4 linked regions of the Arabidopsis thaliana genome follow. The protein of the gene in region 4 interacts with the protein of the main gene of each other region in a pairwise test. Each region holds a gene or a part of one and is shown on either strand. Other genes may lie near its edges.

Region 1 (4,047 bases), about 19 Mb from region 4:
ATGCGTGGTTCCAATGAAGATCATCTTGGTGATCATTGCGACACACTTCGGTTTGATGATTTCACTTCAACAATTAATGAGAACCATCGTCATCATCAAGACCTGAAACAGAACATGACATTGCTGGAGAGTTATTATTCTTCTTTATCGTCCATCAATAGCGATTTGCCAGCTTGTTTCTCCAGTACAACCTGATGTATGTGGATAGATTTTCCCATCTCTGCCTTCTTGGCTTGCTTTTTTCAAGCTAGGGTATTTCCTCTTTGTAGGCTTTCTCTTTCACTAAATTAAATCGTTTATTAATTATGCTTCCTTGAGTTTTTATTTTTCACAAGCAACTTTGCTTTAATGAAGAAGGCATGAGGTAAGTCAAGATGAACAAGAGAAAAACTGAATCGAGTTTTACTATATTCAAAATAAAGACCAGTAAGTATATTATTTCTGGAGCTGACTTCATTAATCGCATACGAGACTGTCGTTGTAGAATTCCCAAAAATTGAAGCATAGTTAAGATTTAAGACTCAAAATTGCTATTCCATAGTTGTGTCATGACGCTGAGAACATTAAAGTGCAAGCTTGATTTAGCCTCCGAGAGATTCAGAAATATTATATTAACCAAGAAGGTAATCACAACAGCTTATGTGATATGCATCAACAATAGAACATTAAAGATGAATTCAACAATTCCAAAACTGAAGAGAAGAGAATTGTCGACAAAGTTAAGAACTGATAACAGAATACAAAGCTTAAAAATTGGTCGAGTAACATAGATGTCCTCACATGACTGCACCAAGTCCTATCACTTGAACATAGCCATAATTCCAAAACAGAGAAGAATAAAACATAAAAGCTTAAGCCTTGGGGGCTACTTTCTCCTTAGCCTTTTGGAGTTTCAACACTTTCTTCACAATCTTTTGCTCTTCGACAAGGAATGCCCGAATGATCCTGTCGGAATCCAAAAACAACATTACGTTAAAGAACACCAAATTTATTGTAATAGAAAGATGACTCAAGTAAGATGGACAACAAACCTTTCCCTGACTGCAGAACCAGACAAGACTCCACCGTATGCTCGGTTTACAGTCCTCCTGTTTCTTGATAATCTTGACCTCTTGTACTCAGAGGGCCTCAAGTGAGGGATCTGAATAAACAAACAAAGTTATTCACATAATGCAAAAGGAATATGCCATTGCATAATCAAACATATATAGTTGGGAATAAACTGAAAATTTATGCCAAAGGTGGATAGCAAATCCTTATGTAATACAAGGAACAACTTGAAAGACAAAGTGGCACCGACAATTTAGCTTATGATTTATGTTATGTACTGATGTGGGATTTATCTAATCAGCACAAGACCGTCAATAAGCACAATACTATTAACTAAGTAACATGGTTTCTTGAAATAAGAAGACATGCCCATTAAAAATGAGACTGATCAATACTCAAAACATTCTAAAACACTCAATCTGATTGATTTGGTTATACATAGCCATCAAATTCCTAAAAAATTCAAACTCTTAACTCTATCTAGACCTCAAATCAAGACTCTAGATACAAGAACCATGTAAACCAAATCACACGAAGCCAAATCGAAATCAGAAGACTTACTCCTTGAATACGCTTGCCAGTAACAGGACATTTGGGGCCACTAGCTCTCTTCTTTGTGGTTTGATACACCAATTTACCTCCTGAAATCAACAATCCCAACACACATTACACTATGAAGAACAGATCGGTGATTAGAGAATTATGAGACTAAAGCAGAGGAGATTGAAGATATCAAGGAAGAAGAAGAAGAAGAAGAAAGGGACCTGGAGTCTTGACGATACGGTGCTGGTTCGATTTGGTGGCGTAGCTGTGTCGCGACCGGTAAACAAGACGCTGCACCATTTTCGCCTCCTTTTCTCTTTTAGGGTTTTCGTTTGGAACGAAGAATATAAGGGTGAGACTCCAAACCTAAACTAAGACTACAACTATATGGGCCTTTTCTCATTTTGGTCTTTAATTATGCTCCAGTTAAAGGCCCATGTACAAATAATTAAAAAAAATTCAACTTGTAAAAACCAATTCTATTATTAGCTGCAATTAGAATAAGTATCGTTTGTATGTTGTAGTGAACAGAAACTAGAAACATTATTACCAATTTTTATTTTGATTTTTTAAGAAATCATAGATGCATTAAATTATACGTAGAACTTTAAAAAGATTAATTAGTATTATAATCCGTTTAGTCAAAACACATTCAATTTATTTTATCAAATAGTGTAACAACAAAAAATTTAAATTCATGGCACGTAAAAACATAATCGATACATTTACAAGGGCGTGGTGCAAGCAATTAGAGCAAGCCAAGTAGAGAAATTAATCAAGGTTGGCGGCAAAATTGGGAATTGGAAAATAAATTCATCCAAAATAACAAATGGAAATATAAGGACCAGGCTAGAAAATTTGGATTTTCAACAATTTTGTTTGGTTTGATGATTAGATTTTTAAGGGAAAAAACTAACAATTATGTAAGAATGAGAATCGATTGATATATTTTATGTGTGTCTATATTGCAGTTTTACTTTAAAAATTGGGCAACTTTAATTTAGTTTCTTTTTTTATATGCATTAATAATATATATATATATATATATATATATTTTTTTTTTTTTTTCTTTGAACAAATAATAAATATTTGTATAATAATTGTTTTTTTTTGAAAAAAAGCTTTATAATATAGACTCACTTTTGTGTCACAGCCAGCGACGAGAAAAAAGTTCCATTGGCGTCTAGCTAGGTATCCGGTATCCCACATGGCCACATCTATGGGTTGCTTAAGTTGTTGGTCTTTTTTTTGGGATATTATACACGACGATGAGCATATATCAACTGTTCCAGAAACCGAAAGTTGTCAGATAAACGAAACTAGAATCTGTGCTTTTCCTAACGATTTGCTCTTGCAGATCTTGCATCACGTCCCAACAAAAGAGGCAGTCGCCACTTCAATCTTGTCTAAACGATGGCGTTATGTCTGGCCGATGGTGCCTAGACTCGAATTCAAAGAAGATGACAGCGAGAGCGTGGGGTGGTTTATTGAAAAGTCATTGCAACTCCATAAGGCACCGAAACTAGATAGTTTGGTTGTGGAACTCGGTCCACATTGTCCTGTTGACGTAGATGTCGGAAAGTGGGTTGAGAACGTAGTTAATAGAGGTGTGAAAGAGTTAGATTTCAATCTCCTCTGGACCGCAGAACCCACAGGATTTCCTAAGTGCCTTTACACATGCAACACGCTCGTTGATTTAAGTCTATCCAACAAGATTCTAGTGAACGTTTCTTCCCCTGTTCGCCTACCATCTCTCTTAACTCTGAGTCTTCGCTTTGTGGTGTACAAAGACGAAGAATCTCTTGTTAGCCTTTTATCAAGCTCCCCTGTTCTCAACTGCCTGAAGGTGGATCGACATAAGGATGACAACTTGACAAAATTTACCGTGAAAGTATCTACCTTGAAACAGTTACATTATAATACTACTCGGCGGAAGGATGGGGTAGAGGATGAGGAAGACGTGGTAGAGGAAAATGAGGTAGAGGATGATGATGATGTAGATGAGGTAGAGGATGATGAGGAAGGTGTGGTTGAGGAAGTTGACGTAGGTGAGGTAGAGGAGGATGATGATGATGATCTCAATAGATCCTTGGTAATAGATTCCCCTGCATTAGAAATTTTACGCTTACGTAACGTTTTGGACTATTGCTTGATAGAGAATATTTCTTGCCTTCATATAGCAAAACTCGGCTATGTTCATAACCCCGATCACAAGTTTCTGAGATCTCTTTCTTCTGTCATACATATGTACTTGTATTTGACCAAGCCAATGGTACCGATTACATATCTCCGATCCTCTTCTTTTCCTTGTTGCTTAGCCAACTAATGTTATATTTTTTTTTAATCACAGGTTGCGTGGTGTAACACCATCAAGTTCTCTCGGCTCTTGGAGTTTTATTTTGTTCCAAGCAATTTGGTAGATTGGTTGGAACCACTTATGTATTTGCTTCAAAA
Region 2 (5,014 bases), on a different chromosome or scaffold from region 4:
TGTTTTTTCTAATATTATTTTATTTGTTATATTGTTTAGCTTTATTTTAATTTCTTTTCCCCCCCAAATTATGTTTAGCTTTTTGAGAAAGTAGCCTCTCGCCGTCGAGCGTGTGTGGTGGGTGTTTTGAAATTGAAACGACTTCTTCTTGTCAAAGTAAATCATGACCTTGACCCACACAATAGACTCGATAAATTCCAATTATTGTTTTCAAAGACAAAAATGTAAAATGATATTTTAGTAAAATGGAAAGAAAAACACTTAACAAAATGGGAAAGATATGATATTTGGTTGTAAGATCTTCAAGTATTCCCATTTTCCAAATATTGTTTTCCTAATCTAGCAAATTCCTTATTCTTTGAATTACACTAAATTATTCAATCGAGCTGGTAAGATAGAAATATTCGATCGTACAAAACACAGCAATGTGCTAATCTACAAACTATTTGGTAGACATGATCTGGAAAGCAAATGCTTTTTTATTTATGATATTCAGTGGAGAACCAATTTAGTATACTTTCATACAGTAGGCCCTTTGAGGCCCATCTTACACATAAACAGAATATCATAAATTAGCTGTGTATTCTCATTACAGCATTTGGCAATAAGCTGGCTTTTGGAATGCTTTTGAAGACAATGAAAACACACTACAGTCTTGTTCATATTCTTGTGTCTGCAAATTAATTGAGAAAGTGTATAACTTTCCTATGTTTCTGAATCTTGTTCGAGGCTCCTTTCAGCTTATGGTTGTAGCCTCATATAGCAATTATGCTCTCACATACTAGTCATATTGTTGAAAAAATGAAACAGGAACGCTTGGTTCATACTCTTCATAGACAGATTTTTATGTGTTTAAAAGACGAGATTTCATATACGAATCAGAGAACCAAATACAATAATTTAGGCTCAAGAAGCGGTAAATCAACAGAAACTGATTTTCAAATTCCACAAGAGGTTCAACAGAAATAACCTCAAATGACTTTTTTATTTGGGCGTGTTTTTAAAATACTCAATTCTAAAAAACAAAACCCAATCAAAATCAAAACACAAATCCAAAAGGAAAATGAAGAAAAAACACTTATAATCCGATAATGTCAAGTAGAAAAACGAAAAATCCCTAGAAATATATCCAGGAAGATGACAAACGTCACAATTCAACCCGTGGACGATGCTCAGTACTTGTAATCCTTCACGTGAAGGCTCTCAGCTGCTCCATCACCAAGCTTAGCGTCACCCTTGTAGGTTCCGAGTGTGGCTTCAGAGTTAGCCTTGCACCTCACATACAACGCCTCTTGAGCTGCCTTGACATTCTCCTCTTTACCTGCCCATGTCTTCAAGGTAGACTGCTGCAACGCACGTCCGAATGAGAAAGACAATGACCATGGCTTCTTGGTCTTCAACTGGTTCATGGCGTTCAAGTTCCTGGTAGCTTCTTCCTCGCTCTGTCCTCCAGATAAGAAGACAATGGCTGGAACAGCTGCTGGGACGGTTCTCTGAAGGGCACGGACGGTGTGCTCAGCGATGACTTCAGGTGAAACCTTGGGGCTGTCAGATCCGGGAGTAACCATGTTAGGCTTCAAGAGTGTACCCTCGAGCAAGACGTGGTGGTCGCTAAGAGCCTTGTAGCAAGCTGCAAGGACACGCTCAGTCACGGCAGCACACTTCTGGATGTCATGGGATCCATCGACTAGGATCTCAGGCTCGACAATTGGTACAAGACCGTTCTCTTGGCAGATAACAGCGTATCTAGCTAATCCGTAAGCGTTCTCATGAATGGAATGCTCAGATGGCTCGTTCTCTCCGATCTTGAGGACTGCACGCCACTTGGCGAAACGAGCACCAGCTTCGTAGTACTTCTTGCATCTGTCACCGAGACCGTCAAGACCTTGAGTGGTGGTCTCACCGTCGGTTCCAGCTAGCTCAACGGTACCCTTGTCAACCTTGATACCGGGAAGAACTCCTCCTTCCTTCAAGATATCAACGAAAAGCTTACCTGTACAAAGAAAACATCATCATCAATAAAAAACAATCACAAAACCACATTACAGAGTAAAACATTAAGTAATAGTATTGATCAAGTTCATACCATCGGAACTCTTTTGGTACAGAGTCTCTTCGAAAAGGATGACACCACTGAGGCATGGAAGAGCACCAGGGGCGGTGAAGAGAAGCTCACGGAGGTTACGTCTGTTGGTCTCAACGTTCTCGACGTTGATGCTCGCAAGACGCTTTCCAATGGTACCAGTGGACTCATCAGCAGCCAAAATACCTTTTCCAGGTGTGCCGATGTAGGCAGCGTTGGCGATCAACTCATCTATATAGGTTTCAAAAATGGAAAAACTTAAATCAATCAATCACCATAAGAGAACAACAACAGAAAAAGTTCCAGATCGTGAATACTAATTAGATCCGTATTAAAACCGATGAGAACATAGTTAGATCTACGCTAGTTTTTAACATAGGAATCATCGACTGATTCATTTCAGCTTTCGAAACCAAGCTAAGTTCACGAATCAACTAGATCTATACGATTAAACACGCTAATAAGAATCAAAACACGGGATAACGAATCGAATCCAATACACGAATCTAAACATGAATAAAGAACTTAAGAGAGATAGAGATCGAGATCTTACCGGCGAATTTGCTTGTGAAGGCAGACATAGTTGGACGGAGAGATCGAGAAATCAGAGAGAAATGAAAAGAGATGCGGAAGAAGGCAGACGAGTGGTGGACCAGTAGAGGAAAAGGGTTGGTTTTATAGCTGCGGATGAGAGTCTATTGGTTGGTGAAAATATTAATTAAGGGTCAGATCTTTGCATGTTCCCCAAGAAATAGCTTTTTCAGCCGTTGGATCTCTAATTGGCAATGTTGGCTAATCTTAATTCTACCCCTTAATAGCGTGGATTCTCAGCAAATTAGCTGAGGGGTAATTTGGTAACTCGTAGTGTTATTTAAGGAAAAGCATGACTTCGGCCTTACGACGGCCCAAACCGTCAGACGAATTGTATAATTGAGATCGTAAGATAATAAATTACATTAATCATTGATTATAGTAGTTTTTTAATCGTAATAAACACTTAATAGTTGACTACGAATCTCAATAGAATATTCTTATTGGAAATGTTATGTGTTTCTAGATTCACAGAAAAAGTGCGACTTTGATATCTCCGAACATAGAAAATTAAGATCTTAGATTTAGATAGAGACATATAACCGGAAAACAGCTGCGACTCTTCAAACGCATGAATAATCAAAAACTATCAAAGTCTTTTGCTTTCTACCGACACAGTATGTATGTAGTCTAGAACTTTTTTGTTGCTATTGTTGTTGTATACATTTTGAAGTTTTAAAGGTGTCTTTTAGGATCTTCAATGGTTTTATTGTTTCTTATCTTTTAGGTTCAAGTGATTATAAAATGAAACATCTTATTATTATAACAAATTATGAGATTTTTACACGTATTTTCAACATTTTTTTAATATGTGTATATAATTTTTTAATAAAACCTCGTTGACAAATAAATAAATTTTAAAAAACTCTATGACATACTAAAAATAAAATATGATTATAAATGGAAACAACTGTTACGATATGCCATAATATCTTAAGAAAGAAACTGATATAGAACATACAATATTTAAAAAGAAAATAGGGGAAAAGAAGGAAATATACTAAAAAGACAAAGAATATATGTATATTGACATGTAAATAGAAACACGGATGTGTATGGTCCATTTAAATTGTCTCCAAGTCGATTAAGATGGTACATCTAGAAACTTCGTAATCGTCAATTTCTATTTTTGTGATAATTTTCCATTTTCTCCTATAAACATATCCATCAGCATTATCATTTATCAACACCACTCTGTTCCTCTATTAGTATTTTTCTCAGTTTTACATAAGTACAATATTACTTTATCATGACATTTTACATCAAACAAATGTCTTTTGTAAAATCTCTGGTTTTTAAACAACCCAAAAAATAAAATCCGAAAATGCTGATATCAATGCTAAAATAATAATAAGGACTGAAGTTATTCTCAAACGTGTACTACAAAGTTTCACTCGAGCATTGCTAAAATAAAACAAGATTATGAAAAAATAAGACACAAGAGGATGAATCTGAAAGGATTCATGACTTGGCTCTTGGCACATCTAATAAACATAAGGAAGTATTCTCCAGGGGACAAGTCTAAGATACTCTGCCCATATCTCCTTGTACTTCTCTGCACATCGAACCTCGTCTCTTCGTTCTCTCCATATCAATAGTATCAGAAGGTATATCGGGTAGAAATATGGAACCGGAGAACTGAGAATACACAAGACAAAATATCATAAAAACAGCTTTGGGAAATGAACTTGAAAGCTTTAGACTTTTCAAATGATGGTTAGAGATCAATATCTTTAAGTCAGCCAAATCAACTTCGAACGTTTTGATATTGGTATTAGTTTCTACATGACTTTTGGTAGCTGTAAGATGAACTCAAGCAGAAGAAGTTACCTTATTCCACATGGCAAACTGAAGGACAGAGCAAGCATCAAGTCGCCAAGGTAATTACAGTGCCTTGCAATTCCCCTGTCATATATACAAAACAGCACCTAAGTTATCGGAAATGTGTCATTGCGGAACTTTCAACTCTTTATTCCCAGCATGATGAACAATCAAACACAGAGATGGCGAAACCAAGCAAAGAAACAAGAGAAGATAAATATAACATACCAATAGCCTGAAACCAGTAACTTTCCACCAACTACCACTGGAGGCTTGCCCCATATTGGTGTTTTTGGGTTCTTCTTAAAGATATGTTTTTGTTTGTTAGCTCCTCGAAAAACCATGTACCTGCCAAAGAAGAAATAGTGGGTTTCTTAGTGTAGATATGTAAGAATGGAAAATAACCCAATGTCTCAGAACTTACCCTATCAAGAAGACAAGGCAATTGACTACAATCGCAGGAACTGTTAGTTCTACTTTGTTGTGCAAAAGCCACCAGCCCTGTACCAGAGAGAAGAC
Region 3 (5,214 bases), about 25 Mb from region 4:
AAAACGAAGGATCTCTTTAGTTATTGTTTAACATTTGCAGATGAGTTACAAAAAAAATATCAAAACGTGTAAACTGTAACATAAAATGTAAGTAGTAACGAACTATACCCTCCTTGAAACTATACAAAGATTTGTTATAGACTGCAACTTATGTGTTACCTACATATATTATATATACCATATTCGGTAAGATTTCTATTTAGGAAATGTATTGAACTAAATAATTAGATTGAATTCTTTTTTTAGAGAAAGTCATACATATTTGCATTTGTATTCTATTTAGTGAAATATTCATCCTCTGCAAATTTGTAAGCCGTGCCATGAGGCCCATGACGGTTGAACCGGCCTTCTATACGAAATCAGATCATGTTCGAGCATATCTTTTTTACTGCCAACTTGAACCGCTTCTTTAAATCGCCAAAACCAACCCCTTTGCCGATTTGTAGCCACCAAAGCGGTTAGTATTCAACCGCAGTAATTGCTTGTTACCAATTTAACCAAATTTATAGGAAGAGTTAGTGATCAAAGAACTTGGTGAACGGTAAAGTAAGTGTAACATTACAGATTTGATTAACAAATGTGATTGTTACAACAAAACTCAACATTATCCAATTGTTACCCTCCATTTCAACAGCAGAAAAATATCAAAACGCTCGAGAATCCGAATCATCAGAAGCTCTAAAAGCATGCTTTTAGAGGACAACAGACATTTCTACTCCTATCGCGAAGTCTTGATCCCTCTTGCTTGTTTCTTCTTATCCCTTTTCTTCATAGTTTTGGTGGTTGACCGTCTCCTGCTCTGTTTCATGGGTTTGGTTTTCCTCACAGGCACAGGCTGCTTTGTGGAAGCTTTGGCCGTGGAACCTGATTCTGTTGATTGAGTCTTCTCCTTGCGAATAGGCTCTTCCTCTTCACGAGATATCTCACTTGTTGTCACAGTTACTTTCAACTCGCCTGTATCATACATCGTCGTGGCTTTCATCCACAAAGAAACACAACAAATATCAGAACAAAGCCAGTCAAAGCAAAATCATACTAATGCAAAAGCAATCAACGGAGAAAAAGACATCAATAATGCTTGTGTTGCAAACTTCTCCATTCCAATCAACCAGCTTTCACATTATGGCGACAAACTATCAATCATTGCGTAATGGAAAACAAAAAAAAAAAAGATTACAAAAAGATTACCAGATGTTGAAGCATCAGGCTCTGCTTCTTCATCCTCTGCATCCACTTCATCTTCAGCTTCCCCATCTTCATTATCCTCGCCATTACCAGCAACCATTAGCTCTTCCAATTTCCTCTGCAAAGCTCATATACCAGATTCAGAACAATAAGAGAAAAGATAGGCTCAAGTCCAAGAATCAAAATCTACATAATAAAAATGATTGATCATCAACAATCTCTCTGACATCTCATCCACTATTAATCACTCATACATCACAGACACTATCGAAGGACATGTAAAATTTCGATTAACAATTGCGGTCAAAACAAAAGAAGCACTCAAATTTCTATAGAAACAAATCAGAACAAGCTCATTGCACAACCTCTTACCAAAAAGACAGTGTTTTTAAGCTCCAGACAAATCTAAATTTAGCTAAACAAAGAATTTGAGACTAATCTATAACGCATATCAGAATAAGAAGGAACAGTTAGATGCTTACATTCTTACGGGCCTCGATTCGTTTCCGCCTAAAAGCTTCCTCCTGCTGCTTCTGAGCTTCCTTTCTTCTTTTCTTCTTCCTCTTGTGAAAACCAGTCACAAAATCCCTACCAACAAAACAACACACACCAGAAAACTCACTAATCATGCGAATTCAAAGATTCCCAGATTGAATCAGCAGTAAAGTTAGAATTTTTATTGTACTTGAGATCTTTCTCGTCAAAAGAGACGGTGAGGCTTTTGTTCTTGCGAGCTCTCTTCCCAATGTGCCTAGCACTAGTCGGCGTAGCCAGTGAACCCGCCTCCTCATTATGCAAGCCTCCCGTCATCACCAGATACTTCCTCCGATCGGAAACGAAGCGGTTCAGGTCAAAAATTAGGTTTTGCGAGGTTTAATCAAAACAAGCCTATGAAGAAGAAGAAGCAGGAAGCAGAAAAAATGGCCTTTTAATTGGGCTTTAGGCTTTAAGGCTTGGCCCATTATAAGGGTAATATTGTCTTTGACTAAATGGAGCTAATTTGGTTAAGAAAAAGTTATGCCATTGACTAAATTTGGACAATTACCAAAAGTGGCTTGTGTCTCTCGTTTCTAACAAAACAAAATAAACCTTCCCACAAAACTAAAAGTTTTTCTTTTTCACTCATCAAAATAAAACAAAAAAAAAACTTCCTAGCATCTTCTTCCTCTTACTCATGCAGAGGACGACGATGGTGATGTTCATCATCATAATCAATTGCTTTTGAACAAAAACAAAATCAAAGAAAAAAACACATAAAACCCCAAAAAAAAAACTTCTGTACATAATTAAGCCAGAGAAAGAAAATAAAGACAGAGTAAAAATGAACGATTTATTCTCTAATTCATTCAAGAAGAACCAGGCTCAACTGGGGGATGTTGAGGCAGGTCAAGAAACGATGAACCTCGATAAATTCTTCGAGGATGTCGAGAATGTGAAGGACGACATGAAAGGAGTCGAGGCTCTTTATAAGAAGCTTCAAGACTCAAACGAGGAGTGCAAGACGGTTCACAATGCCAAGAAGGTTAAAGAGCTACGAGCTAAGATGGATGGAGACGTAGCAATGGTCCTTAAGAGGGTTAAAATCATCAAGCAGAAGCTCGAAGCCTTAGAGAAAGCGAATGCTAATAGCCGTAATGTCCCTGGTTGTGGGCCTGGTTCGTCTACGGATAGGACTCGATCTTCTGTGGTTAGCGGTCTCGGGAAGAAGCTCAAAGACTTGATGGATAGTTTTCAAGGTCTACGTGCTCGTATGAACAATGAGTATAAGGAAACCGTAGAGCGCAGGTCTTTGTTTTTCTTTAGGTTTCTTGTGTTGCAAGCTATGCTCTGTTTGGGTTGCAAGTTATATGATTATGTTAAAATTGGTGCAGGTATTTCACAATAACAGGAGAAAAAGCAGACGAGCAAACAATCGATAACTTGATAGCGAGCGGTGAGAGCGAGAATTTTCTCCAAAAAGCGATTCAAGAGCAAGGAAGAGGTCAAATCCTAGACACGATATCTGAGATCCAGGAGAGACATGATGCAGTGAAGGAGATAGAGAAGAATCTACTGGAGCTGCACCAGGTTTTCTTGGACATGGCAGCTCTAGTAGAAGCGCAAGGGCAACAATTAAACAACATAGAGAGCCATGTGGCGAAAGCGAGCTCGTTTGTGAGAAGAGGGACTGATCAGCTCCAAGATGCGAGGGAATACCAAAAGAGCTCGAGGAAATGGACTTGTTACGCCATCATCCTCTTCATCGTCATCTTTATCCTCCTTCTCATTCCCCTTCTACCTCACATAATGCTCATGTTGAAGTGAATTTTCTAAAGAGTTGAACTTGAAATCTCAAAATCATCTCTTCGCTTGTTATTTTTCCTCTTATTTTATATTTTGTTAATATTGAATGAAATAGTTAGATTACGGTGAAACCATGGCAAACAATTTGTAGAGATTTTTGAAGTACCAGTTCTTTATTATTATTGTATATCTTTTGACAATTATTATCTTCATCGTTAGTGTTTATATGACAATGTTGTATCATAGATGCTGAAATGTTAGAGTGAAGCATATACATTGTTTTAGATTCAAATTAGGGATTTGTTTCGGAAAATTGGAACTAAATTTTGGGATTAGCAATAGCATTATCAAAAGGGTTGTGTTTGTAAGTATATAGAAATGGAAAAGCATATGGGCTACGTATGGTATGGAATGGAATAAAATCGATAAACTAAATGTATTAAGATAAACAAAGCTTTTAAGCTTATATAACAGTTTTTTCTTCACAAATTTTAGCCTAAAATTTTTGCTAAGATACCACCAATAACGGTGGTATAAATGGTGTCTCTCATAAACCACAACTCAGTTATTTGGAGAGACAAAAGGAGTTTTCATTTATTTATTTAATAATTCATATATGAACTTTACTAGTTGGATGTATTTAAAAACTTTATAAAACGACATTTGTTGTCAAAACCACGTACCTTGAAGGTGGTGTTGGAGTAAAGAATTGGGGGGCATGTGCGTTGGGTGGGCGATCGAAAACGCATTTGCTTACATTTATTTGGCTAAGGACCACTTCAGGAAACCGCTTCATACTAACTTCAGAGAAACGGTAAGATACAACCTTCTTTTTTTTACGTCAAGATTCAGCCCTCTTTTCTCTATATTATTATAATATATGTGTCCGGTGTCCCCATCCATGAATACATATATTTTAATTTCAGTCTTTATCGTATCGGACTCTCTTAATCCCAAAGCCTATGGGAATTAGAAATTCTGATAAGACAAAACTTTCTTCTGCTAAATCCAAAGACTTTCATTCATTTTCTATGAATAATGCACGTTCATCGATAGTTTCCAACTATACAAAACTGAATTGCTTATACACATTTTCTACTAATGTCTTCGACTTCGGTAACGTCCATACTTATCTATCTTAGCTTAGCGTTAATAACTAATAGCATCACTCTAGATTTTTCGATATCAGCACATTCATTTCATTTCATTTCATGTGTTTAGCCTCTTGTAGTGGTTGGGCCAAAGCCATTTTCCTTTAGGTGATTAATTTACCTTTTCAGAATTAGATTTTCGACTCATGACGAAAGCAGAAAGTAGTAACATCCACGATTTACTAAACACCTTGAATCCTATTTTACTAGATAAGGCCCGCCTAAATAAGCGGGTGTAAGATGTAACTGTAATTTTTATCGATAATATTTAAATTTTGAATAATAAAATAATAATCTATACATTGTTCTTGATATATAATTTTGAATAGTAAAATAGTAGTCTTATGCATTTTATTTTATTATACCCATTCAATCTTATTGATGATATTTGAAGTCTAAATAGTAACCTACACACTTTTTCTTTATTATAATTTAGTATTTAGAAGAAAAGAACAAATTTTTTATCTTACATATTCAATTTTGTATACAATTTAACTATCTATTTCATAAAAAGCTTGATTTTAATTCTACACACTTCATCTTACTTGATAATGATTTCATGTCAAAATAATATATATATGAGATCAAATCTATA
Region 4 (3,909 bases):
TATAATCGACAAAAATATAGTATGCAATTATCACAGTAACCGCTGTCTTTAAAACAAACTCATAAAATTCTAAATAGTTATTTAGTTTTTCGTAAAATTTCTAAAGCGTTATTTACTTTTTGGTAGATTCTTAACGCGTTATTTTCGTGATTAATTGATAAAAACGAAGAAATATTCATATTGATCTCATCGAAATACAATGTAGAACTCAGTTGGGTGAAACATGTACTAAATCAGAGATTCCATGCGTAAACAAGATATTCAATCTAGAGATTTTCAAATCATAAAATCTCGAAGATTCATGTATGGTATCTAGATGAATTAAAAAGAACAAGATGTTTGATTTGTTGGTTGATTACTTGATAGACATAGTAACATAGATTGAGTGATTACCTTTGATAACTACTCAAAAAGGGGATTACACATACCACATCCATGATATATACAAGTATGAGCCATTTCAATATTTCTATAAAATGTACTCAATAACTTTTTTGTTATCCAATTACAAAGGTAACTAAGTGATATATAAAAATTGGCTTCTAATAGCACTTTTATTGTGAACTCAAGCATATAACAAATAATATATAGGGACAGCACGAAACCCTAGTGATTAAAAAAGAAGAGAAAATGCAGATGGAGAAGTATATCATCTCAAGACGAATTCAAATATTCATATATGATCAACTAAATTAAAAACCAAACGATCCCCAAACAATGAAGATGATTTTTTTTTTCTTTTAATTTTGAGAAATGAAATTTGGTTACAGCTATGTTACGGACATAATTTTCAATTCTAAAAGGCTGGTCTTGGTGGTGCGGCTGCGGCTGCGGCTCCCCAACCAAGCAAATGAGGATCACCGGCAAACTGATCATAACCACTCATGTTACCTCTTAACTGTCCTTGACCGGCTCCAGATGGTGGTGATGATGACGTGGCCGGCGGTGGACCACCTTCTCCTCCTCCTCCCTCTCCAACTTCTCCTCCCTCTCCACCTTCTCCTCCTTCATCTTCAAGGGGAAGCCTTTCGAAAGTTGCATTAGAGAACGATGCAGCCATTAGTATCACTGGACCCGAAGCCACAAGCGGAGCCACCACGTTTCCTCCAATCACCTGACCTTGAACGCCGGAAAGAAAGATAGAAAGACCACCGGATCCTGGCGGCGCAGGGGGCGGCAACACCGTACCTGTGAGGGAAAGTATCTCAAACCTTCCATGTAGAGCCACAACACCTCCGGTTCCACCATTTGCCCCATGAGCCGCTGTCGTTGCCGGCTGCCGGAGACTGACGTTAGCCACCGTGCCGTTACCACTGAGAATGGAGACTCCTCTTCCTCTCCTGCGAGCGTAAGTGGTAACGCTCTCGACTATGTCGGCTCCAGATGAGACTTCAAGAACATGAGATCTAAGCACGTTGGGGCTATCTCTAGTCACTATCACCGGTGGCTTCGGCTTGTTCTTGGATCCCGGAGGACGTCCACGTGGACGTTTCCCGGTTGAACCAGAGGTAACTGGGTCGGAACCCGGATCCTTGTTGGAGTCAGATTCATCATCTGAATTCTGCTGCTGAGGCTGAGGTTGAGGCTGAGGCTGAGGCAAAGGGTGAAGTTGAGGCTGAGGTTGAAGCTGGTGATGAAGCTCAGGCCTGAAGAGGTTGTGAAAGTATCTAGAAGCTCCTCCGGATTGATCGTAACCACCGTCCATGGCAGCCGCATCTACTGACTCTTCTTGTTCTTGTGGCTCATATATATAAAGATATTGTGAGGGTGAAGATAGAATTCATATAAGAGAAACTTTGAGATCCATTGGAGAAGTCAAATTTCAGGAGGTGAGGAGCCAATAGCTTGAGTTGATCGGTTACACAAGCCGACAAAAACAGAGCTAAGAGACACAAATCTAAAGGGTATGCTTTGTGTGTTAAACCCTAACTCGCTTTAGGGCAAGAGAGGAGAGATTCTTCACCCGAGACGGTGTCGTATTAATTGATGTGAAAGAATTCTAGGGAAGCTTCAAATTAATTCATGTGCTGAGACTGAGAGTGAGTGACTCTGCAAGTACTTTTTTTGAACGAGGAAAGGGAAAAAAAAAGCAATAGACACACCGAAAATTTAGCTGAATATCATTCCTTTCGCATTAAAAAATAAAATACGCATAGGGGCATATATTAATATACGAATAATTGCATATTAATAATATACTTGAAATCCATGAAAAGACAAGGGTTTCGAGTTTTTCTTCTCTGGATATATGCGTTTCCCTTTTTGGCATATAGCTTCAAACCAAGAAAATAAAGGAAAACTTTTAAGAGTTAAAATTTAAAGAAAAAGGAAATTAAGAAATTTACAATTTAAAAGCCAAAGGTATATGAATAGGAGATGGAAGAAACATGCTGATATTAAATTGTTGGAATTTTTTTTTATTTTTTTTGATAAAGTTGTTGGAAATTATTATATAGAAAACAAACGAGAAGTCTAAATATAAATTATTGTATAAGTTTTTGAAAGTTACATATCAAATTTGTCCGCATAATAATGCAGTATTCCCTAGAAACAAATGTAATACTCCCACCATTTATCATTATATGCTGTTTAAAGTTAATTAACATATAGTATTAAAATTTAATTAAAGTTTCACTTCTATCTTTCATTAATACACAATTATATTTCTTTCATCAGTTAATACGTTAGAAAAACATAGATTTTTTTTTTGTCAATCTGTTAGAAAAACATAGATAAGACATGAAATTTTAACAAAAAAAAATATTTGCATTGAAAATATAAAATAAAATTTATCCTGAAACAAAATTAAAGTCTTAAAACGACACTTAATTGAAACAGAATAAACAGATGACAAAAAGTAAAATAAAAGTGAATCAAAAATGTTAGCCATGAATCGAATTGCCTTGAAGCGTGTGCATGTAACGCCTTCCATTATGAATTTCATCATTTTCTTTAAAACCGAGATTCTACCTATTCAAAACTAAATTCAGTTTCAAAATGTTTTTGGTCTTGGTCATATATTCTAAAACTAATTAAAAACTATTACCATGAGTGAGTGCACTTCAATTTTTATTAAACTAATTATAAATTATTATTGATAGTAAAAAAAATATAGACCAAACTATTTATTATCAATGTATATTAACTTTCTAAGTTAGAAATTCATGAAATTCGATATAATCTACATAAGGTACCCCAAAAAAGTGTATACAGATTTTAAGTGGGATTTGTTTAAAATAAACATATAAAAAGCATCATCTCTCCAGTGACATGTGTTAAGTTTCTACATTGAAAATTTCATATTTACATCAAAAGTTTGAAAATATCAATATTATATAGGGTAATATTAGAAAGTAACCATGGAATTGAAAAGAATTGAGAGAATAGCCTTGTGTCAGGAAACTTAGGTAAATAACATTTTCTATGGTGGATAAAATACTAAAATATCCTTAGATTTTCTTGTTTTTACAAAAATATCGGTGGTTGTAGTTATAAAGTTTTTATGTATTTGTCTAAAATAATATGATATATTTACAAAAGAGCATGCAATTCTTTAAAATACATACAGAATATATATACACGATATATATGTTTCTCTGAAATAATGTGTTTTTCAGAAATAGCACGAAATATTTATAAAAAGCATGCAATTCTCTTATAGATTGCGAAATTTAAAAAATTACAATATTACATGGGTTTTTATTGGATAACATGACAAATATTTATTTATTTCATGAGTTTTTGTTGGATAGCATGACAAATATTAATATATTAGTGTTAATAACATGTTTTGTTCTTAAAATACATGCATTTTAAAATCAGATATTTGTTTTAAAATCAAATTTAATCTCTTATATCACAACGACATTGACGGAGAATTCAGGTAAAAAGAGAAAATAAAGAATGAGA

What was found.
Region 1: the proteins of SOB3 (region 4) and AT1G26880 interact in a two-hybrid assay, tested with the Arabidopsis thaliana proteins (one large-scale study listed by BioGRID).
Region 2: the proteins of SOB3 (region 4) and FBA8 interact in a two-hybrid assay, tested with the Arabidopsis thaliana proteins (one large-scale study listed by BioGRID).
Region 3: the proteins of SOB3 (region 4) and AT1G11240 interact in a two-hybrid assay, tested with the Arabidopsis thaliana proteins (one large-scale study listed by BioGRID).

Annotation. Positions count from the first base shown.
Region 1 is NC_003070.9:9,314,789-9,318,835, forward strand, and holds AT1G26880 (Ribosomal protein L34e superfamily protein), read right to left. Parts: upstream 2,093-4,047; 5' UTR 1,894-2,092; coding exon 1,815-1,893; intron 1,692-1,814; coding exon 1,612-1,691; intron 1,374-1,611; exon of another isoform or gene 1,227-1,373; intron 1,142-1,226; coding exon 1,032-1,141; coding exon of another isoform or gene 1,010-1,031; exon of another isoform or gene 946-1,009; coding exon 852-945; 3' UTR 517-851; downstream 1-516. Other genes in the region: FEZ (NAC (No Apical Meristem) domain transcriptional regulator superfamily protein), read left to right, coding at 1-195; AT1G26890 (FBD, F-box and Leucine Rich Repeat domains containing protein), read left to right, coding at 2,801-3,589, 3,656-3,865, 3,944-4,047.
Region 2 is NC_003074.8:19,626,211-19,631,224, forward strand, and holds FBA8 (Aldolase superfamily protein), read right to left. Parts: upstream 2,995-5,014; 5' UTR 2,665-2,994; coding exon 2,637-2,664; intron 2,315-2,636; coding exon 2,087-2,314; intron 1,994-2,086; coding exon 1,173-1,993; 3' UTR 538-1,172; downstream 1-537. Other genes in the region: FK (Ergosterol biosynthesis ERG4/ERG24 family), read right to left, coding at 4,159-4,312, 4,505-4,579, 4,724-4,843, 4,920-4,996.
Region 3 is NC_003070.9:3,766,218-3,771,431, forward strand, and holds AT1G11240 (ribosomal RNA-processing protein), read right to left. Parts: upstream 3,583-5,214; 5' UTR 3,490-3,582; coding exon of another isoform or gene 3,057-3,489; 5' UTR 2,971-3,056; coding exon of another isoform or gene 2,507-2,970; 5' UTR 1,996-2,506; coding exon 1,871-1,995; intron 1,774-1,870; coding exon 1,668-1,773; intron 1,304-1,667; coding exon 1,189-1,303; intron 976-1,188; coding exon 719-975; 3' UTR 537-718; downstream 1-536. Other genes in the region: SYP125 (syntaxin of plants 125), read left to right, coding at 2,507-2,970, 3,057-3,489.
Region 4 is NC_003070.9:28,703,328-28,707,236, reverse strand, and holds SOB3 (Putative AT-hook DNA-binding family protein), read right to left. Parts: upstream 2,275-3,909; 5' UTR 1,706-2,274; coding exon 797-1,705; 3' UTR 546-796; downstream 1-545. UniProt on the Arabidopsis thaliana protein: Transcription factor that specifically binds AT-rich DNA sequences related to the nuclear matrix attachment regions (MARs). Acts redundantly with AHL18, AHL22 and AHL27 in the regulation of flowering and regulation of the hypocotyl elongation.